Arabidopsis thaliana: one gene and its partner. The protein of the gene in region 2 interacts with the protein of the main gene of each other region in a pairwise test. Each region holds a gene or a part of one and is shown on either strand. Other genes may lie near its edges. The genes, in order: TINY2 and AT1G68360.

Evidence for each region.
Region 1: the proteins of AT1G68360 (region 2) and TINY2 interact in a two-hybrid assay, tested with the Arabidopsis thaliana proteins (one large-scale study listed by BioGRID).

The regions. Positions count from the first base shown.
Region 1 is NC_003076.8:3,723,845-3,736,702, forward strand, and holds TINY2 (Integrase-type DNA-binding superfamily protein), read right to left. Parts: upstream 4,883-12,858; 5' UTR 4,656-4,882; coding exon 3,945-4,655; 3' UTR 3,609-3,944; downstream 1-3,608. Other genes in the region: AT5G11600 (uncharacterized protein), read right to left, coding at 9,971-10,226, 10,329-10,399, 10,492-10,707, 10,986-11,171; AT5G11610 (Exostosin family protein), read right to left, coding at 11,725-12,378, 12,648-12,858.
Region 2 is NC_003070.9:25,615,692-25,627,891, forward strand, and holds AT1G68360 (C2H2 and C2HC zinc fingers superfamily protein), read right to left. Parts: upstream 6,903-12,200; 5' UTR 6,722-6,902; coding exon 5,987-6,721; 3' UTR 5,842-5,986; downstream 1-5,841. Other genes in the region: AT1G68350 (cotton fiber protein), read left to right, coding at 825-1,313. UniProt on the Arabidopsis thaliana protein: Probable transcription factor required for the initiation of inflorescence trichomes in response to gibberellin and cytokinin. Acts upstream of GIS, GIS2, ZFP8, and the trichome initiation factors GL1 and GL3.

The DNA of each region.
Region 1 (12,858 bases), on a different chromosome or scaffold from region 2:
TCGCTTAGACATTACACGTTAAATTACTACCTATTGTCTAGCACTTTTTGCATATTATAATAATACTCAACATTACTAAATCAAGTAGCACTAACCCAAGATATTTGTACAAAACAATAATTAAAAGCATCCTCCTTGAAATAGCAACCGGCAAAAAAAGGTTTTCCACAAAGAATATTGTCTTTTAAAAGGCAATGCTTTGATTAATACGGACGTATTAGAGTTTATAAAATTGTATGTTGCTATTGCCATGGGTCTTTGCTGTTCTCATTATTGTCCTCTTTTTTTTTTTTTTTGCTTTGTGATCTTTTTACATATATACAATAAAAAACATTAATTATTATATGTTAATTCAACATACAATAAAAGTATATATTCTTCATAATATATCAATTTTAATTTGTTAATACAGAAAGATAATGGACGAAAAAGAAGATAATGGACAAAAGATTTGGAGATATAATGGTACATGCACATTCATAAGATTCTAAATGTATATTTCTATGTTTTTAGGTAGGATACAATTGTCTCAAACGTTAAACTTTTGGCGTTCATATGTTTTAATAGATAAGCAAATCACATTTGCAATTTAAAATTCTACATAAATTTTATCATTACAAAGTAAACGCACATTGCATTTGGCGTTTGCTGTTATAGTTTACATAACCGGATGAATACGCCAAATAACATGCATGGCTGACCGACCGTTAAATCAGTTTTCTAGCCTAATATTTATTAGTTTATTCTAATGATTTATATATGTAAATTCAACTCTAATTAATGGTCACCGTCAATTAAATTAGTCCACTAAACGTGATTAACCTGCCGACTTACTTGATCCGTAGATATTTAGACCAAAGCATATTAGTGGAGAATTTCAAGTGGTTCAGATACCCTTTAATTTTTCAGCATTTGTAAAGTCATTTTTGACGATTTTGGTCGAAATCTAAAAATAAAGTACTAAAGGAGTCAATAATTCCTTTTCCGTTTTTGGAGTTTAGCATAGTCCCATCATTAGACACAGATAAATTTGATTTAAGAATTTCAATACCTCACAAAAGATATGCAAGAAAGTTATGTCGGATCCACTCTAGATTTGCGTGGTATACTGTCGTTAATAAAACCTAATGAATTAATTTAATTATTCGTTAATAGTTAGTGGGGAATATATAGGTAGGGGCTACGTTTCGTGGATATAAAATCCAATGAAACCGTCAAGTTATTATGAACCAAAATCAACTCAATCTGACATTGATCGAATCATATTAAACTAGGTGAAGGGATGGTCTACACTAACTTAGTACTAATTTTCTTTAGCAGTCTAGTTTTAAGTTAGGTTAAGGGATGGTCCTGAACTAATCTGATATTTAGTGAGGTGTTTAAATAGAAAACATATATCGGTTTGCTTGTACGAGTCAGGTTACCTCTTTTGAATATATTCCCTGATTACGAAGAATTATCTCACTCGGGGTCGGAACTCTGATTGCTGAGTCAAATTTTTATATAGTTGTATATTTTGTTCATGCTTTTACTATTGATCATAGATTTGCTAAAAGAACGTGGAATTAAGCGCTGCTAAAATCCATTAATCCGTTAATAATATCCACCAGAAAAAAAAAAAAAGATACTATATAAAAGGCAATGTAAACATGAAACAGCTAGAGAGAAAAAAAAACACGTAACAACTAATTAACTGTTATACAATGTCATTTTTTCACTCTATACATTGACTAAAAAAATGGAATATTATATATAAAAATCATGATATATAATTAACAGATAAGAATATGAATCATTGTTCCATGTCCCACCCTCTCGTAAGAAAGTCTTAAGGTGTAAATCCAAAATCTTTAATATGTTTTAAACGGTGTCAGTGACATCATTACTGTATTTGTTTGGTAAATGGTAACAACAGTCTCTATCTTTATCTTTAACCAGAAAAAGACACTAGTCTTTATCCTGGACGAAGCTTGTCGTTGTATATCTTATTATAAACAAGATATCATGTTGTAATCTACAAAAACTTTTGGAGTTTGCAAACTATTAGACACATTTTACATTTTATTAAAGAGATCAGCATAATTGATATGTAACCTCAAGTAGCATAACAATGACTAAGACAGTTTAATTTCATGGATATTCCACTTTAGACCAAGTAGTTTATGGATCATCACATCTCTTTTTCATGATTATAATTATCCTAAAAACGAGATGTTGGAAGTTAAAAAGATATGCCTGTGACAGGACTAAATATGTCATATTATGATCATTCGTCATTCTTGTCATATAGATTCAAATAAATATTAAGCTAGCCTACATTTATTTTAGGGGTAATTACTTTTTCGTGTCAACTAGTTCCTTTTAGTTTTTTAAGCTACATTTACATTTCGTCTTTCGAAAATAACATTCTCATTTTGCTTTAACAGAATTACCCTTGAATTAATTTGTCTTTTTAAACATTGGACGTTAAAAAATAAAAATGTCGATGGATGCTGTTCACATTTGTAGAGTAATAATTAACGGACATTCTCAGTTCGAAAACTTTTAACAAACTTTCAACACTTTTCAAAATTTCTTGTTTATTATTGTAGTATATATTTCCAATAATATCACTATAAACTTTAGTTCTTTAGAAACTTTTTCAGTAAGTTTTATTTCTTTCACACGTTTTTAGAAACTTTAAACTTTCATAAGTTTCTCATGTAAAACATTGCAAGTCGTTTTCATCATTCAGTGATAGTTTTCAATTTTTTTTGTGTGAATAAAAAAATAAATCTAAATCTTAGATGACAAAATCTAAACTCTAGCTCCAAATGATCATCTTATATCTTGAGAACAAAAAAAATCATAAACCCTAATACCAAAATCTTAAATCCTATTTAGCTTCTTAATTTAAGCACAAGCAAATAGTGACGCCACAACGGTGGTGGTACGACAAAAGTTCGGCTATAAAGAAAATTGGATGTGGAGACATAAAATGAAGAGAGGAGGAACTCCCTTTAGGGATCCAAGTTATATGTGGAAATTAAATAGATGCTCATTCATTTTAATATTAATCTATTTCTTGATATATACATTCTTTTTTATTTGATGATCATTATGAAATTTTGATAAATTAGTCTTTAATCTTAACATATCGTAGAATAAGAACACAAACAAAAAAAAGTCATCTGTGGAGCTGGCTAATCAGATCTGAATTTATCATAAGCCTTTCTCTTTTTAATTCTAAAATAGAACGAGTTGTATGATATTTGTGTGGCCTATATTGTCTAACAAATTTTTTAAAGTGGGAAATTATGGTCATTAACATACTAATAGATGATAATAAAGTATTGCATGGATGTACATATGTGGCTGTGTATTGTTTGCGTCAGCTTGGACAAGTTGCTCTTGCTTTGTGTTTTCCCTCATTTTTTACCCTAACTCACATTCTCCGTTCCATTTATGTCGACAAAACAAAAATGAATGGGATAGTGAGACTCTAATTTACAATTAATGGTTAAAGATATTTCCTATAATTTTAAAAAAAAAACTTTTTTTGTCAAAGAAAACAAAAACAAAAACATTGAACAGTTTTTTAAATTTTGATGATTTGCATTATTACAATATCATAAAGTTAGTGGACTTTTATTTATCGCTTATTCATTTGATGATACTTACAAAAAAATCACTTTATTTTCCCTTCTTTTCCGACAAAAAAACCCGATATTTATATATTACAAAAAAAAAACACAAATAGAGTTTTGTACACGTATCATTATGGAGCTCACACCCGCTCCAAAAAAAAAAAAAAAAAAAACCTTTCTTAGCTAACACCAAAAAACTCAAAAAAAAAACAAAAACAGCAAAGGGTTTTAAAAACGTGATTAAACAAAACATTATGGCAATGATACAAAATAAACTGTTTTAAACAAAACATTATGGTAATGATACAAAATAAACTGTTAGAGATCCCATGACAAGCCATGGCCAAAATTAGGGCTAATTCCGTGACCATAGTTATCTTCGGACGACTGTCCCCACGGCGGCGGATATAAACAGTAGTCAACTGAGTCATAGAAGACAAACTCGTTCCCAAGGTTAGCCGAGTCGACGTCGTAACTCGCCCCGAGACTTGGAAGCTCCACAATCTCACCGAGCTCCTCCGACTCAGTCCTCGAGAGGTCCATCACCAACACAAGAGACTCGAGCGAAGACGTAGAAGACAAAGACGACGACGAAGACGTGGAAGATGAAAACGACGTCGTCGGTTCCATGTGAGCTGCTTTAAGAGCTGCTGTCTGAATGTCTCGAGGGCTTAATGAAACGGGTCGAGGGAATGAGTCAGCGAGTTCAGGGAAGTTTAGTATAGCGGCCGTTCCTTTAATGCTCAGAGCCGCCACGTCGTGTGCACGCGCCGCCATCTCCGGCGTCGGGAAAGTTCCCAGCCAAATACGTGATTTCTTCCTCGGCTCACGAATCTCCGACACCCATTTTCCCCAGTTCCTCATCCTTACTCCGCGATAAACAGGGTGTTTACCGGAGTCTCTCCCACGTTTAGTCTTCTTCTCGCTTTGCTCAGCTTTGCTTTTGTCACTCACTGAGTCAGACTCCGAGTTAGGGACAAGAAGCTGAGTTACTCTCTCCGAGCGGAGGCTGTAGTATTCCTCTGCCATTGTGTTAGCTTAGGCACAAGTATCGTACAAGTCTATTATTCTGATTGCTTTTTTCGATTCGGATCCCGAGATTAATGCAAATAAAAAGAAATAGCTAGGCTTCAGGGGGAAAAATATATAAGTTTGAGAACTATTCAAAATGAGGAAAAAAAACAGGGCAGTGAAGTGTGATGAAGAAATGAGAGAGAAACTTTGATATGAGAAGAGAAAAATGTTGGTAAAATTTTGGCTATCATTTCTCAGTCACTCAAAATATTTATATATGCATTAATATATTTGGGTACGGGTTAGAAGAGAGGGAATGGGACCAAAAACAATGCAATAAGTCTAATTGAATAAAGGAAATGGACCCAGTGGCTCCATTTATTTTTGTTTTTCTCACAGACCCACTCTATTTCTATATTGTGAATATATTGTTATTAGTATAAAACGACACACTTGGGGTCACTGTTTGCTTTAATATTTTTCCCGGTTCTTAAAATCTCATTATGCAACTAAATTAGGAAAACAAAATACTTTTCAGTATATTAAAAGATTATGAGACGACCATATTTAGAAGGGCAGTGTTGAAAAGAGATTTTGTCTCGGCCGGGTACGTAAATTATATGAAAGTTGTCTCCGAGATGAACATGATGAGACAAGCCTTTTTTGTTTTGTGTGGTAAGATAATTTTCACCTCAGTTTTACTGTTTAATTATCCTTTACCTTGATCTTCGACTCATTGGATCATACATTCCTATTTACATATTGGTATATATATATGCTCATCATGTGAAGGCAATATGTATCCACATATATGATATGCCATAATTGCAATTTAGTTTTGATCAGAATTAATATACATATTATTTACACGGATATAGAGTTATTGTCTTTCAAATTTTGATTTTCTATAAACATATTATATGAATGTCAACAGTTTTTGAAGATTTATTCAGGAAATTTTTTTAGTAAGTATCATATGTTTACTTTAGTTATATATATCGAGGGCTAATTAAAGGAACTTGTCTTAACCAATAAACCATATGCTTCGAGGCTAAATTTTAAATTTTGGAGAAATTTGTAACTGAGTGTTTTTTTTCGAGACACCAAATGGTGTGTGATTAATTGCACAATTTGTACTGATTTCATTTGAGAGGATATTTTATACTTAGACTTGAAAAGGTGTACTAAAGGGGGTTTAACCGTAAGTAAATTGATAATTAATACCTCTGTCCTGGTCTTAGAAAATATATGGGCGTAAGACCCATAAAAGAAAGAAATCTACCAGCCAATTGATATTAATTAGGTTAAAGTTGCTTCCAAACTAAAAAAAAAAGCCCCCAAAATTAGAGGTACAATATTGCAAATAAAGAAAAGAAGTTTGTAGAGGAAACTTCAAGAAATTTTAAGGGACAATAACTTGTTCAATCATGGGGTCGTATTTGCGTACCTATAAGGAAGGACGAGTGTCTGTCAAATATACACATACACTAAAGTCTTTTAATAATCATGCCAAAAAAATGTCTCTTAATGACGAAAAAATAATGTCTCTTAATAATCATTTTGGATTTTTCACAAGTAATAGCAATGTCTAAGTACTTGCAATGAAGAGAATTGTTTGTATTTTCGCCTCTCGTTTCAGCAATACGTATATGCATTTTATATTGATCATATACGTAATACTAATTAACAATAATATTGATCATCTTAAGTTTACTAAAAAAAAAAAAAAACTGGTCAACAAAGGTTTTAGAGTTTACAAGTTTCTAATTCAAAAATTATTGACATGAATATATTGACTCTTGCTTTATATTTATCCTAGTTAAACAGATTTTATGTGAGATTCTTACAAGTCTATTTAAGACGAGAACGAAAATAGTTTAATTGTTTTGAAAATATTGTTAGAACACGAGAACAGTTTATGAAATCAATCGGATTACAAAACCATTAAATAATTTTGAAACCTCTATTTAAAAGTCAAAACTAACTAGTAATGAATGAAAAAATAGAAAAAAAGAAAAATTATTCACTATATTTCAAAATATAAGATGTTTTAATTAAAAAAGAACTTTTTTTTATTTTTAAAACCTTTATTTTATATTTGATTTAATAAAATTCAACTAATAATATAAAATACTGCATAATATAAATGGTCACAAATAACAAATATATTTAAATTATCTATAAACTTGGAAAACATCTTGTAATATGAAACCAAATAAAATGTCTAAAACATCTTAGATTTTATCAGCTATAAAGGATTTAATTTTTTTTTGGGTAAGGATCTTTAAAGGATTTTAATTATGCTATTTGCCTTCGTATCCGTTATTCCATTTTACAAGATTGTTCAAGCTTCTTTTTACTCATTTCAGACACTGACCATTAATGAAGACCTTCGCAATAAACGAAGCAGACCCACTTGTAAATAGAGGGGAAAAAACATCTTTATGTAATTTACTTTATTTTATTTTTGGTCAATTTTATTTGTGTTTATTTAGGCAGACAAAACCAAATATCTATATCTTCCGACTATGGTTTTATTAGGCAAAATAAAATAAAATAAAATACAGAGACTATAAAGGCGATTTTTTTTCAAAGGGTCCAAAATAAGCCTTTTGGAAATAGAACTTTTCATCTTCTTCTTCTTTCTTTTTTATACAGGAAAGAGACATGTTCTTGGTTTGTGTTCTCGTCATTTGGTAAGATTTTAGAGATATATAGTACGGTCAAAGAACGTTAAATAAAAAGAAAAGGGGTCAAAGAACGTTAACAAACAAACATTATAGGGTCTGAGTTCAATTATTATACAATCTCTGGTATTTTCTTACGATTTTGTGAACTCTTTTTTTTTTTTTTTTTTTTAACGATTTTGTCATAATTTGTATTGGATAGATCTGTGATGGAATTTTATTTAGTTTTACAGAAAATCAAGCCAAGTCTGTTAAACAAATTTTTTCTCAATTTTTGAATATTAAATTTTTCAACTGCAACATTTTTTTACAAAATGTACACTGATATTTTCCCATTTATTTTACCACCTCACATCATTTTTTTTTTTTTTTTTTACGTTTCTGATAAGGCATAATAATATTTTGTAAGTTTCTTACAGTTTATTTCACCCGTTTCTATCACGTAAGTTGTCCTATCGTTAGACCATCCCAACTACAAAAACTAAAGTGATAGTAGATGGAATACTAATTAGACTTGAGGTGGCTTAATTAATTTTACGGAGGTATACATTGTGTTGTTTTCAGACGAAAACACATTTATATTGAAGTTAGAGAATATACATATATATGCTCTCCAGATTCTTCTCTGACGAATAAGCATAGAATTAAATTGAAGTTAATATCATATGGTGTGTAGTTTTATTCCCTATTCAACATATATATGTATCACTATCTTGTGTATGTTCCATTGAGAGACAAAAATTGACAGACAGAGAAAAATAAGACACGTCGAGATGTAGGACATTTACTCTTAACATGTTTTTGCTTTAGAGAGTATAGTACTAGTCAACGAAACACGCAAATGATTGTCATTATGACCCATAAAAATCTTGAATTGCTAAAAGTATTCTAATTAATCAAATATTGGTCGATGAAACATGGAAAACGATATTAATCTGCTTCGCTATCTTTGTTGATTTAACAACGTAATATATGCTGATGAAAAATACAAAAACGTACGGTATCAGTTAATTAGTTCAAAACCCCTCTTTGTATCATTGCGGTCGTTATCGTATCATATTTTGGATTCGACCTTGATAATACGTGTCAGCTATTTCATTTTAGATTGGGACTGACAAAAATAATTAAGAATCATGACTCGTTGTCATGAAGATTTTACATAAATTTAAGATTTTATTGGTTTTAGAATAAATGAATTTAGTATAATGTACAAATTTGTTGAAAAATCTAAAACACCGACACGACTGTGTGATGGAGATAATAGGAACATTAGCCCGAATACGACGATTATACGACCAATTGTCACGCGAGCTTAGCAATATTGGTTAATTCAGATGAATTAGCACGAAATTATTTGATAAGTAAAATCAAAATCAAGTGCACGCAGTTACGAATCTTGGTGGTCAATTAAATAACGGAATACATAAGATATTTTTCATTTACTCTACAGAAAATTATACACTCATGATTCCCTATAATGGAAGAGAAAAACAGTCGACAAAAAAAATAACCTACATCATATACACTCACATCAGTATTATAGAAAGTCATATTATTGGGATTGACGATGTATGAGTAATCGTTTGATTGCTACTATTTATTTTAAGATTGTTGATAGATAAGTGTGACCAGTCTTAAAAAAGACTGTGACCACTCTAGGGAATTCATTTCATTACCGTTATAAAAATCATTTAATAAGATTAGACCTTTCGATGTATTAGATGATTCTTCAATTACCTTTTTCTAATCCATGACACACATATATAACTATGACAGGTTAAAATGATGAAAAGTTAGAAATCATAAGATTGTGTAAGAGACGGACAAAACATACAAAGAAAACATGATCCTGACTCAAAAAGTACATCAAATATCAACAGTCAAAATTCACCATCACCATTTATTGTTGCCCACTTCTAGTTTTTTTTCTTTCATTTACACCCAATTTTTCGGCAGAGAAAACAAATCATTATTGAAAGAAGATATTCAGGGAAATTGAAGAAGGTCTTGACTATTGAGTGCCTGACTATTTCGACAGCTTCAGTCCTGCTGCTAGTTTGTCACATGCAATTGCTTGTTTCATGATATAGTAGCCGCACAGTGACTTTGATCAATATTTTCCAAAAAGTTGTTTTTAGAGGCACACAATTAAAATCTTCTGAATTTTATATTGGTAGATGACATTTTCGGCTGTGTAATAGAATTTGTTTCTAAGTCGTTTAAGAGAAACAAATGGTTAGAGATTAGGATGGTTTGAATATGAATATATTAACTAAAACTGAATATTTCTTGAAAAAATTAACCAAACAAATTTTCAAAAGTTTAGCTCCTAATTAAGAAAAGAGATGGCGAAAGAAACATTAAACATATAGATTCTGTAATCTTGTGAGATGAAACTTGTCAGGAAAAGTGATGCTGTGTTCATGAAAGATCAAATGATTAAGGATATAAAAAAACTATGGAAGACTCATAGATATGAAAATTTGATCAATTCAAAAGTTATACTATTCATGCTTTACTAAAACTTTATACTGAACTATTGTGTCATGGTACATCCTCAATCATGAACAACATTTTGAGCATATACAGCAACGATCTCTGAGCACTTTATTCGATTTTTTCCTAATAACAAGTTTGTATGGTTTACACTTTCCTTCTCTTGTGGCTTAGGATGAAATCATCATCATCATCGTCATCATCATCGACGACTTTCTTCTTCTTTCTCGCATCTAAACCGTTGTTCTTGGATGCAGATGTTCTTTGAGAACTCTCCGCTTTACTAGAAAACGTTGGTGCCGATTTACTCGGTGTCCCCATTCGAATTTGCTTCATTTTTCTCTGCTTTTTCTCAAAGGCTCGCTTCGCCTTTTCGGGAGACAACATACCATGTTCCATAAGCCTGATTCAACACATTTATAACCATTCAAGTTTTAGCTATAAATGAGCCAAGACAATGTACTAGAAGTTCATCATAATGACTTGTCAATAGTGTTTTTCTCACCAGAACTCAGCCATTTCACTCCCAGGTATTTGTTTCGACAAGGATTCATAGAATATCCTCAAGGGCTCTCTCTGCAAAATGCAAAAGACAGATAAACCAAGAATCAAGAGCATGATCATAAAACAGAGATCTAATAAAGCAATCATTAAAGATGTCTAATAACCTCTTCAGGAGGATCAAACTTTTGTCCAGCTAATGAATAAACCTTCTTCTCTCTTTTCGCTTTCCCTTTCACCAAGCTTACTGTTGCAGATGTTGTTTTCGCTTTCACCAAGCTCACTACTGTAGATGTTGTTTGCGCTTTCCCTTTCACCAAGCTCGCTGCTGCAGATGTTGTTGCTATGGTTTTCACTGAATTTATAGGTACTTTGGGCTTTGCCTTCACAAAAGTTTTGCAGAAAATATGTTACAAGTTCGACCTAGAAACCAAAATATCCGAAAACCACGTCATGATGAAAACTTCGATCTACAACGAATCCGAGTCTTAACAATAAAATTTTCCACAGAAGTTTTATCTAACAATGAACAATCTACAATTCGATGCACTCCTTTAGAGCTAGATCGGCTTTAATCCTTAAGGAATTTATAAAAATCAGAGAACCCAAATCAGAAACTTGCGATCAAAAACTTTAACACAAGAGTTTTCCCGATTGATACCTCGGATTTCGCCGTGACGGTAGAAACAGAGGATCTGGGTTTAGAATCCGACATGATCGGTCTGCTAGAGGTCGCGATCTTCTTTTTGTCCTTAATAGACGGATCGATCTTGACTCTGGAAGAAAGAGAAGAAGACGCATCGCGTGGCTCGCTCTTAGCTGAACTAGGTCTCTCCTGTGTCGCCATGAAAAAGCTCAGATTAACCTGAAGTTCAGCTCAACTACTTTTTCTGCTTGAAAAATCCGACAATGATTCCTTGAGCAAAGAGAGATGCAATCTTCCGATTAAGTCTTGCCGCTTTCCTAGTTATGTAATGAAACGGTAAAAACTGGAAAGTTAAAAACGAACGATTTGCGGTTACCATATTAACGGTAATTTAAAAATTTACACGAGGAATAATAAACACTCACCAATTGGAGGTTTTACACCTTTTTTTTACAAAGTTGTAAAAATTTGTTGAATGATGAATCTTTTAAAAGAAATAAGTATATAATTGTGGTAATCAATAAAAGTAACCAGATTATTTTCTTAATTTTGAAATACTTTGATTAAATACTAATTTTTAACCTTTGAAAAAGTTTTACAAGTTCATTAACTTAACAATGGATCTATTTGTAATCAAGTCCAATTGGCTAATATGAATCAGTAATCTACAAAATACAATCTTCCGGAGACGTAGTTAATTATTGGCAAGTAGCAAAGGCCAAACCAAAACCCTTGTCAAACCTAATTAATCTGGCTAAAACGTTTGAAAAACTCGGTTATACCAAACCGAATGAAGAATCATATGAAATATATCATACCGAACCGGTTCACCATCATGCCACATGAAATGTTTTTGAACCTTCAAAACCCTCTTTTGCATCTCCACGTATCTCCTCACCGGAATCGATATCAGAATCTTCCTTAGATTCGGGATCTCTTTCTCCGGCACAAACACTGCGAAAGATTCCCAATTCAGAATCTCAAGAAACGGTGGCACAAAGTTATCAGAGATAATCACCGGAACACAACCGTACAAAATCGACTCAACCACTCTAGGGCTATTAACCTCGTAACCTTTAGCGCAAACGCAGAATCTGCTGCGTTTCATGTAACGGATGTATGATTTATGATCGATACGATTAAAGATCTTCATATCTTGTTCAGGTCTCGATGACCATTGGTTAAGCAAGATGGGTCTAACGTAACCGTGCAAGCTCCCGGCGAAAAAAGCGAGGATGGTTCGCTTGGAAGGGCGGCTACCTCCAATTTTTCCGTTTGGATTTTGCAAAGAAGAGACTTTAGTTTCCGGCAAAGAAACATCTTTTCCGACCACAAAGTCTATGCCAACATCGGCGTTACAGAGTGCTCTGATGCAGTTTATGTACGGTCCCCTAGTCTCGGTTGGAGCCTATAACAAATGTGAAATTATTTTTTTCTTAAAATCTCATTAAGAAATTTTCTTTTAGTTTTTTTTTTCTTCCATTTTTCATAAAATATGTATTAAAATGGATGCAAACTAGATGCAAACAAGGCTAGAGTACAAATGATGCTAACATTTATATATGATCAACAAATGAATTTTGTTAGAGTACTTAAATTATGGTTTTATTTGAAAGATACACTTTATTCTAGCTTGTAAAACCAAACAAAAACTATATAGGTTTTTAAAGCACATACCCAGTCATGGCAAGCGGTGAAGAAATGATCGGAGCCACAAGTTCTATTCCAGGAAGGGTAGTTGGAAGCGATGAGATCAATGTAGTTTCCAAGATATTTAACAAGATTATTACGACTGTGAGAGTCATGAACGTAAAGTTTCTGTTGAAGAATTCTTGAACTGAAAGGTATGTAGAATAAATGAGCTTTGGTGGGATCTTTTGTCAAGAAT
Region 2 (12,200 bases):
GGAATGTCAAATGTGTATGGATGATTACTGTTACTTAGGGTTTTTGTTCTATTTTTTCTTAGTTAGTATCAGCTTTACTTAGGATTAGGAATTTTAAAATAATCGTGTTTGTATTATGTTTTTTTTTTTAATATCAATTTAAATGGAAATATTACATTAGTTGTTGAATACTACTAATGGTCAATCTTCAACTCGGATTTCGGTTCGGTTTGAGGTCAAAATTTTCAGTATTAAAATTTTTGGTTTATGAACTATAGTATACAGAATAAACAATATATGAGTTAATATGATTTTACTTTTGTTTTGTTTTTTTCTTACTCAAACCACTAGTGTGAAGTTTTTTTTCTTTTCGTAATTGATAACTCCCATAAAAAAAATTACTTTATAGTGACAGTCCAAAGTCACAACCACAATATTTATCTCATCCAATATTTATCTTAACTTAAAAGGTTAAAACTTCTTCAACTTGAGGAAACTTGTTATTTTCATTAAATATATCGAAAGTCGGAAAAATATTTTGTGTAACATATTCTGTTAATTACTTAAATAGTCCGTATAAATATGTGATGTGCACAACACAAGAAAATTGTTTTCCACTTCATACATGATTTAGTATTAAAAAAACTATATTGAAAAAGAAACCTCCAACGGCTATTTATTGCATATAGATATAAATTGAAAAAGTAGACGACCGACCATATGACTTTTCACAGGTTGGCTTGGCGCTCCTTCTTAGATCTAAAACTCAAAACTTTTCATCTTCTATAAATCTTGAACATTAATGTCCCTTCCAAGAATGAAACCATAGAATACTTTAAATCAAAATGTCCCAAAGAAGAAGACCAATTTTCCAAAGAGTTTCGAAACTACTAAAAATCTCGATCTTGAGAAGACCCATCATCCCAAGACTCAAGCTAATTCCCATAAAACAAAGAAGATCCAAAAGGGTCAAACTCCTTCAGCAACACAACTATAAATTTCTCCAAGAGTATCAATTCTCTCCTTCAAGTACATCCTTTATCAAATGCTATGGGAAGAGCATTCAGATATCTAGATCGGGTCTTAAACGCATTTACGGGTTATTGTTTCTTTCTCAGTGTATCGGCCGGTATAATGAAAATGATGACACAATAACGCAAAGTTGGATGGAGATGGAGCCTTTTCATTATGCCCTCGGAGTTGCTTCTCCTGCAAGGGAGCATCTGCAGCCGTTCGATTACTTCAGCGAAGATGATTCGATTGACTTGAAGGCTGAGAGATTCATCGAAAAGTTCTATGATGAGATGAGAATGCAGGCGCGAGAATTTGCTTGATTGACCAAATGTCAAGTGTTATTAATTACTTTTTGAATTTGGGATTCTTTTCTACTTGTGTTAGTTTTCTTTTACACGTGATTGGTATTGTTAATTGTCTCCACATCATATTTAAGATCTTGGAGACTCAGTTATTTCGCTCTATTTGAGTATTTGATTCTATCCATTTACAATTTGAAGTTCTATCATTTCCTTGATTTGATTCTATAAGAATTTAATTAGAACTAGGCTCTTGAAGTTGAATAAGAAGTTGGCCCATTTAAGTGTTTGTCTTTATTCTCTGGAAGTTTTTCGTTTAATTGGGGCCTTTTGTAATCCAAATCCTAAATATTTCAATCATTAACTGTTATGGGCAAATGCCATTTTCCAACAATTTTAATCACAAATTGTTATGGGTATGCCGTATGCCTTAGCTAGTCTATTGGGCCACCCAATTTTTGCATGTTCGCATGTTAGACGCAAGTTAGATACATTTATACGAGGAGAAAAAAGGAAGACGTAATGGAGCAACGAATGAGAGATCGACAAGAGGAAGACATGTCTTTTTACCACTTTTATTTCTGAAACCGGTAGGACAGTATCGTACGCTAGTCCACTTCAAGAGTTTACATAATTGATAGTATATTATTTGTTATGTATGTATCGAACAAGTACATACGTGCACTTTTGTTTTTTCTTTTCTTGGGTCCTCATGCCACTTCGATTCTCAAAAGATATATCTTTATGTGGACCAACGACTTAAGCAATGAACTAAAACGAGCACACATTACGTCCCACCCCATGTGAGTTTAAAGTTATAGTTTCTTCTTGGATTGTGCCTATACGCAAGCCAATCAACATTTTTAAAACTCGACCTAGAAATGTTCTTGGAACGTATGAAATGTCATTTGGGTTGTTTCTTATTCAAAAGTTTTGTTCTATTCAAATCCATACACTTATTACGTGAAGCGTTCTAATGGAACGCATGGAATGTCATTTCGGTTGTTTCTTATACATATTACATGTAACTTTGTCATTTGTTTATCAAATTTTGTAACTAACGGGAATCTGGAATATAAAAGGGGAAAAAGGTGTATCCCGACAAGATCTAGTACTTTATTCTTATCATATATGGAATTGATCTATCGACATCATAATTGTAAATACATTGTAAAAACGTTAAGAGAGAAAGGAACTTTCTTTGGATATACTTAAGCCACAGACTTACTTGGAACCAACGAGGCTTCGACACACATCCACAGCATCTTTCTTCTCTTTCCATATTTCATGTCAACAAAAGCTAAACCCTAGGGATTGTCTTGCTTTCACATGTCCGTATCACTTTCCACGTAAGCCCTATCGTGTTTCTTAGATGGAATCTGAATTGTCATATTAGTGCTTGTCCCTAACCTACCACAACGTACTTTAACCACTAACCTATCTCCACATTACTCTTATACCCACAACTAATTCTTGGTTTCTTAGAGGAGCTGAAGAGGTAAAAGGAAACAAAACATGTGTTAAATAACTTGTACCAACACAACGGCCTGACTCCATGCTTCCGCTAATCCACCATCAACCGAAATAAATCGATTAGCTTACGCATAGAAGTTATATGATAATGGTTCTTCAGATACTCAATCATATTTTCTATTTATTTTTCGTTTATTTAAACTACCAAGTTAAATTATTATATCAATCTTTTAGTTTTTAAAAATACTTTTTGGGGAAGAGAATTTAAATATTTTTTATAAAAAAAATTAACTTAGATTAAAAAAAAAAAGTGGGTTAGAAAAAAATTCGAAACATCAGTTAGAAATTACAAGTTAACTTAACAAATTTTCTTACAAATTAAACAAAAAGATAAGGGGAAGAGAATTTCGTTTATCTTTAAAAAAAAAATATTACACAAATTATGGTATTTTCTTAACGTGAACAAAATTAATAACTACTAGCGCATGTATGATACAAGTGGACTCCTAATGCATGATGAGGACCATACAAAACATTATACTTTCTCCCATGTGTTATTGGAGAATATAGCTAGGGTTAAAAGTCTAGACTACTGTCTACTGCGACTGTGTATAATAAAGCCGAAATCATTGTTTTCTATTATTTTCGATTTTTTGTTAGGTGGTGATGCATATGTGCATGCATGATACATTATTGAAGATCCAATGTTTTTGATATTGTAAGCCAATGAGATTATATGCAATGTATATGTGTAATTGTCAGACTGGTAAAGCAAAAGCATAAATAAGACGTACCCTCAAGAGCAAAAAATTTAGTGGGTATCTTTTAGATTAGGGTGTATATATTGCATGATTGATGGTGTGATAAGGACTTAGATGATTCCTTAAAAAGGACACATGGTGCAGCAAAAAAGCACGTTTAGGGACTACGAAAAAACTTTCCCTCCAAAAAAAGTACCTTTTACATATACAAACATGAAACATACACTTAATATTGTTATTTTTTTGAGGTGAAGTTTACTGATTAAAAAAAAAAAAAAAAAAATTAAAGACTATTGCTAAGAGAAGAGTAGTAGAATGCCACCCAAAAAAAAAGAGAGAAGAGAAGTAGAAAAGAATAGAACAATAATGTTTAAGAGAATCCTCTTGTATGGAAATATTGACAAAGAAAATCTCTATATTCGCTGGATTCTTGGTACCCGAGTGAGACTACGCGGTTAAAGGCAGAATTTTCGATGATGCGGATGAGATAGCTATTTCGTAACAAAAAAAGACACAGATAACACTTGAAATGTATATGTACACAATTCATCATATTTGTTTTTTGTATTCAGTGGGAAAAATAATTTGAGTTTTGTAGGATCGTCGACTAATTAATGATGACGTCTCTCTAATTGAGAAATTTGGAAGATAACTTTTCTGAAATAATGGAAACGTACTTTTCCCTGACCGGTAGAGAAATGTTTTACGTGCAGATTAAAATTTTACCCCAACACATCATCTAAGTGTCTAACTACACAATAAACCAAAAAAAAAGTTTCTAACCAAGCAATGTTCAAAACTACTTTCTAAACTTATAAGTATATAAATACTCAACTGCTCCAATTCCCATCACACCTTACTATAAACACACATAGACACATACATATGTGCCAATTGCATTGTTAAGTATCTAAAAAACAAATATGCTTTAGGTCATGTATATTTTATTTGCTCATGGTGACTAGGATCCCATTTCATGTTGAAACACGAAATGCGCTGGTATACCTATACCCCCTACATATTAGTATACGATTGTTAATTAAATTAATTTTATAATTTCAAATTCGGGGACCCGAGGATTCTTCCTAGCTTGTGACATGTAGTATTTTCTAAATGTTGAGGTAAGCTATTTTATTATTAAAAATTGTTCTTCTTTTGGTATTACATATCCACATTCGTTAGAAAATATATGTTTTAAGAATAAACAAAATGTTAGCATAGTGTAAGATACCTCCATTATATAAGTACCTGTATGCCTTAATTATGAGATATATAGGAGCCTAGTGATATTTAAAGTCGAAGAAAACGTATCACGTTGTCACAATCATTTAAAAAATTGTATTTTCGACCCGGGTTTGTATATGCATGTAGATTGCACATACCAAAACTCTATCTCTATGTATGTTGACATCTCTCTTTATAGCCGTTGCTAGTGGTTACATGTATGCTCCTAAAGGGAATAATTAACTGAAGATTTGAGAGTATTTGACTTTGAAAACCTGGAGTTGAATCATATTGACCAAAAGATTATAGTGGTCCTACAATCCCTAAATATGAGAAAATTTTAATTATAACCAAATTGTGTTAGAGAAGTAATTTTAATTCTAACCAAATTGGGTAATCTACTAAATTTAATTCTAACAAAACTGTGTAATCGACTAACAAGACCATAGACCAAAACTCACTAAAGCTGTACATAATTACTACGATGCTAATTGTAGATTAACTTTTTCCATTGTTGTAAAACAGAGGCCTACCAACAATTTTCGAATCTAAAGTAATAATTTTCTATACTTTGGTTCTAAAAACCAATATGTCAAAACTGTGAGAATTCCAAAAGTAATTTGTGCATAGACTTCAGAACAGCTTTTGTCCAAAAAAAAAAGGACTTCAGAACAGATTTGAAGGCGTATCAATTTCAAACGCAATCCGAAAAAGGTTGCAGCGTGTCCCTTTTGACTAATTTTAAGCACAATTTTGAAGCAAATTTGTGAGTAAAGGTGTAGAGTTTTCATACTCATCTTTGCATTCTATTGGCCTGACAATAAAAAGGCTTTGAAAAACGATTGATCTAATGGATCTGAATATTGGAATTATTATTTTGTATGTGTTTAAACATACATTCTATAAAATCACTTTCAGTGCACCTGACAACTTATCTCCTAACGTTTATTTTTATATTTTTAGTCTTTGGTCCTATTGTTTATATTTTTTTCTTGGAGTCTCAACAAATATTACCTTCTGGAATGTTTTTTCATGAATTGGTTAAGCATTTTGAGACTCTACTTTTTGTGGTAGTAAAGCATAATTGGAGTCTAAACTAGTAAAATATTTATTAGGCAAACAATCACTGGAATTTAAAGTCATTAATTAAAAATACTGATAGAGAAAAAAAAAATCACTAAAAATAAATAAATTAATTAAAATGTTGATAAATATACAAGAGCTTTAAAAAACACGTCAATGACCAGCAGGTGCAAGACTGAGATGCAAATCCAACCCTAAACCATCATCAAAAGTAGTTCCTACTTCTCTTGAAAACCCATTAACCGATGGTCTCGGCCCATGGGCCTGAACATGTCTCATCTGAGCCCCAACTACTCCAAACCCTGAATCACGAGCCCCATACTCGTACGAGAACCCACCAGCACCCGCACCACCCGAACCATCTTGGATGACGCAGCCATGAGACACGTGAAGTTGAGATGGAGAAACACGTGGAAGATACATCCAAGGACCTCCCATAGGCTGAGGCACGGCGGATGATGATAAAAGATGAGGCGGAGGAGCAAAAGCAGAGACTATAGGATTCCTTAAAAACTGAGACGCTGATCCAGCGTTTGAGAAATTTGCGGCTGCGTTTCGTGTAGCTTGAAGCTGAGCACGTTTAAGCTGTTGACGCTCTTTCTTGTGAGCGTTTTGGTGACCACCTAAGGCTTGTGAGTTACCAAACTCTCTACAACAATACTGACACTCATACTTACGTTCTCCTCCTCCTCCTCCTCCGCCTCGGCTTCGTACACCACCGCCACTTCTTCCGGAAGATCCTGCCGGAAACTCGCCACGTTCCGGTGATACAGAAGATAGGTTAGTTTTGACTGATTGATCGGAGAAATCTTCTTCTCCATCAACACTAAATCCAAATAGCTTTAGACGAGAAGTTGTTGTTTTTGAACTAAAATCCAGCTCCTCCATTAAATATGTATGTCTTTAGAGAGAGAGAGAGAATTAGAAAGAAAGAAAGAGATATGTTGAATAAGGCTTATAATAAGAGGAGGTTGATGAGTGAGGGCATATATTTATATAAACTGAGATGTGACTTTGTACAGTAACATGGGAGACACTGTGCAAGTGTGTGTTGTGTGAAAGATATGAGAGATTGTTGTGTGATTAACTTTGGTTTTTGTTTTCTACGTATTTGTTTTATTTTTCGGACATCCCAAGAAGAAAGAAAAAGAACAGTGAAAGTGGGAGTTTGAGGAACACACGAACCGAGACGACATGGATAATGGGACCCTATTGGATTTCATTTGTCTCCTTTTTTTTCATGTGAAAGGAAGTTTCAGTTTGGCTCTACTTTTATGTGTTTATTCTTACTAGTTCTCTTCGGGAAAATTCATATGTTTCCACCTACTTTTTAATGTGATTCTGAAGCAAAAAATAATAATTACGACATACTTGTTTTAAAAAAATTACAAATCTTTTTTTAAAAATAAATTTCTAAATGATTAATAAAAAAAAGTAAAAAACCATTGATTTGATGCGTTCTATGCGTTTCATGTAAATTATGTTATTTACGAACTTGATTTTGCTATTTATTTTGAAATTAAAAATAAGTGAAAGAAGTTTTTAAATGTAACTATGAGAGATTTAATTTACCACAAAAAATTTGTATAGACTAATTTGTTTTGGTATATTTTTTTATTGTTTTGCAAACTTTTTGAACATATTTTTCTACGATGCAAATATATTCTCAGCAACATACTAAGTTCGGAGATTTGTTAATGGCAAATGTTTTAGTAGATTTAATTTCATGGAGGTACACCTAATGTTTAAGACACTAGCGCTCCTTAATCTAATTTAAGATTCACAAATTCTTAAAAAAACTCTTTATATCCCACAAAAAAAAACTTGATTTTTCTACGATGCAATCGCCTAAATCTCAAAACAACTCATCCATAATAAACATATTGAATTATATATCAAACTAGTCCTAGATATAAAGTACTCATTTTCCTCCTAGAACTCTGACTTCTTTCCAATTTTGTTTATCAATTCCAACTAAAACGTCGGAAACATAAGTTTATGTTCTTGTTCACATAAGCTAATATGACCATGATAGTGTGTTAGTTTGTTGCGCTCTCATAATGAAACGAAAGGAACAAACATTCACAAGATATTGTAACGGGTCTTTCTTGATTCTTTAACATCTGACGTTTTCTCAGAATAAAACAAATATATATAATCTGAATTTCTTTTATAAATAAATTTGATCCGGACAGTTGGTAATCTAATCTAGAGCAGTCAATAATTTTTAGGATATTTTGTTTGTTAGCTAAGAATGTATTGTCGTCTGTAGACTAAGTCATTTTATATTAACCTACAAATACAATGAGAGAGTTTCTAAAGCTACTCAAGAAAGTCCCGTGATACCTAGACCTAAGTTGGAATAACATCCAATTTGTATAATTATTGTAACTTCCAAATTTCAATACCATATGTAAGTCGAGAGACCATAAACATTTTAACTTATACATTATTCCTCCTTTTGTCTTGATATTCCATCTCTCTAGTTACCTATTGTCTTGATATTCCATCTCTTTAGTTACCTATTGTTCCTCTTTTTTTAATTCTTGATTCCATATCTCGACTTGGTTTGTAACCCAGATGATGATTTGAAAGTGACTTACTTACAGAATTTGTAATCCAAAGTTTATAGTTGATGTTTTAGAGGGGAGAGTCCCCACGAAATGTACCGATTGTTATACCGAAAACTCGTTAAATCTTAAGTATTTTTAATGTTTTACTCTCATGCAATTGACCATAAAATTTAAGTATTTATCAAGTTAATCACTTACAAAGTCGTTTAATCAACAATTTTTTTTTATTTATTTTTTGTAGTTGGCTAAATTAAATTAATATATATATGTAGAAAACTAATTAAAAACTTTTTCTAAAACCATCCAAAAATTTAGAACAACAGTTATGTTTTTTAAATTAGTATTTTCATATTTTACTTAAAATTTCACCCAAAATATGTATTAGTACAAAGTAAAAAGATGCCGACAGACGGAAAGTGATTAGTAAAGTCAAGATAGAGTAGATGCAAACAAATGTTATCACAAACATAAAATTGCTTCGTTAATTGAAAGAGAAAGAAAAAAAGACAAATCATAATGTGGGATGTGATCTGAAGTGACCCAGAAGCCAAAAAGTTTGAAATGTGTGACAAAGAAACATGAGAATCTAATTGAAGATGTGAAAATAAAAAAGGAACAAAAGTCCCACATCTCACTTCTGTGTGTCCCACGTGTCTCCGTCGCATTATCGTGCGTATCTATTTTCAGATACGATCTCAAAATTTTAATGAAAGTCAAATAACTTAAATTTATGAACTATAATTGCAATTTACTTTCTTACATCTAGTAAGGATGTCTTTAATTATGACTATATTAGAAATATATGTTTGCATGTACCACACTTTGGGGCCTAAGGTAAAAATTGTCAACGCAATTCTTTTATACTTATCATAATTTAGTTTGCTTTCAAAGTGAGTTGTGAGTTTAGTTATAGTGTATTTACATATTAAAAAAAAAATTGCAACATATATATATATATATATATGTATATATTAATATTATAATAAGTAATTTTTTAACAGAAGATTAACCCCTAAAATCTATAGATTACCGAGTTTTAATTATTATCGATCATTTTAATAAATTAATAAAAACTCATGTTAGAGATCTTTTAGGTTTATAGATAAAAAAATGAGTTTTATTTTTGAACATGTTTTACCACGTAATTTTGTTCTCTCAAAAAAATGTTTTATATGGGTTTAAACTTGAATGGGAACGTAGCAATTCTACAAACACAAATTACTATTTTACCATCTATGGTTAACATTTTTAAATGAGTTATAATGAATTACTATAGCTGCACATAATTCAACTATGGTACCAATAATTTCGAGTTAAACATATATCAAACTTTCGAAATCTCGATTTGAAAGAATGTTCAGTTTAACCTCTGAATAAGTAAAGATAGTTTGGTGAAAAAAAGGAATTTGAAGAGAAAGCTAAGTAATGTGGAAACTACTTAAAAGTGGGGTTTGTTAAGGAAAAAACGAGGAACGACCAAAATAAAGTCTCAGATGTTAACATGTTCCCCACGAATTACGTGCCAAATGACGAAACCTTGTTTCACGAGTATGTTCGCGTGATTGACGTCAAAATTCACACACACACGTTGTTAATAACCTTTTCTATATCAATTATAATACTTGGAAATATAATTATATATAGAGGGCTCAGAGATCTGCGAATCTTACTAACTCAATTAAAAGTTAATTGGGTGGTTTGAGATTGGATTAAGGCTTTACTTTGTACAAAAACTAAAGATTAATAATTGTGTGAACCCTCATAAAACTAAAGTCTTTGTTAGGGGTGGAGAAATGTCCCATCTTGTCTACCTTTTAATTATATCTTCCACGATAATCTACATAATTAGTTTTTGGTTGTTTCCGTCTATCTTCTTTTTAATATCTCTTCTCATACCAACAATAGCTTACTATGAAAAAACGACGGGTGATAAAATTGTAAATAAATTAAGTTTGATCGTAAATAGTCATCTAGAAATTAAATTCACACTGAAAGAAATCCCTACTCGAATTGATTTGTTATATAGATATGAAATGATATTATAAAGTTCATTCAGAAGTGTGTGGAAGATGCTTTAAATTATTATTATTATCTTTTTAAATCTCTTGAGATCTCTCTTTAATGGAGCACATGATCATAGAATTCGGCTCGGTGGGTTTGCTAAAACATTTCTTTTAGTGTTGTCAAACGTCGATTTTGCTTGAACACATCTTTGAAAGTTTGAAAAAAAAAACCGACTTAAAATGTTGTTTAAAACTTAGTATTCGCTTCAAATTAAATTTCTAATTTTTAGTTAACAAAACATGTATATAAGTATATTAATATTAACATACTCAAAATTTTGTAGACTAGACCTAATATTTTATGCTGTAACGAAAAAGGCTGATAACATAAATAGTTTATATAATGTGTATATTGGATGAATTTGAGAATTGATTCCTAAACAGACGCTCCTCGATATGCATGATGTCATGTGGACTTCGCATAAAGAAGACCTAAAATATTATCTATGCACAATTGATATATGTAGGAAGATTATATTGTCACTTGTTCGGGTGTATGATTATAAATATAATCATGTTATATGTCAAATATTTCTTATTGGAAACAACTAAAAGCAAAGAAGATGCCCAACATGCAATTAACATTCTGCTTTTTATCTTTAGAGTATCCAATGAACTTTGTTTTTGACTTTTGTTAATAATGTTTTGTGCATCGAGTAATATGTTCTTTTCTCGTCTCCTGGTGGAACTCAAGGACTCTAATCATGTATGTGTATGGATATTTACTTAAAAAAACGCATACAATCATAATAGATAGGTCTATCCTATGACTAAAAAAAATAAAGATTGGCCTATCCTATGACAAGGAAAACAAGGATTGGCCTATCCGGAAATTAATTTTAAAATGTAATCTAAGAGTTCAAATATAAGTCATAGGTTTTTTCTTGTGGGGACCAGATATATAAGTCATTTTTTCCCGAACTTGACATAGTCATTAAGTTCTCATTCTTTGTTTCATCATGCAAATGATCTCTTATATATCATCTTAGATCTGTTATAATGTTAAATGTAGGATCCTAACACGCTTTTTTATAGTGACTTTTATATGTCTATTTTGAACCGAATCTCATTTTAAGATCAACTGACCTTTCTATAACGATATATACACTAGATCCGCTTTAGAAATTGAGCTATTAATCATAGGTTGTGGCGCTTAAATTCCACTTGTTACAAAATCGATTTTTTGTAGGTGATTCTCATGAAACCTTATCTATGTTTATGATTGAATTGTCGCCAGCCGAAAAATCGCCTTTCCATCAAGTCACCAACAATACGCTAATGCAAATATTTGTGTTTGAATCAACCTTATCTATGTTCAAGGATGTATAATCTATTAAGTTGGATCGAACGATTTGAAGACAAAAAGATATCGGTTTAGGTCCTGCCAATTTAAAAGAAGGAGCAAGTTTGGAAACTAATAAAGTGAAGGAGGAAAAAAGAAGCTATGAGGAAGTGGGTGGACATAGACACTTAGGTTTTCTCCACTGATGTAGGATTACACATGTGGTTATGGATCCATATTGTTTATCTCTTGCGAGCATAAAATTGAAATTCTTTATTTATTGTTCTTTTTTTTCGTAGGGGTTCTAGGAAGTTAGGAACCATAAGCCATGTTGGTCCCACTTTGTAAAACACACTGCAAGAATTCCAGAATTTTTTAAACAAACTTGCATCTTCTTGGGCTAATTACTAATCTTGAGTCTTAGAACTGGTTTCACCAGCAATTGTCCA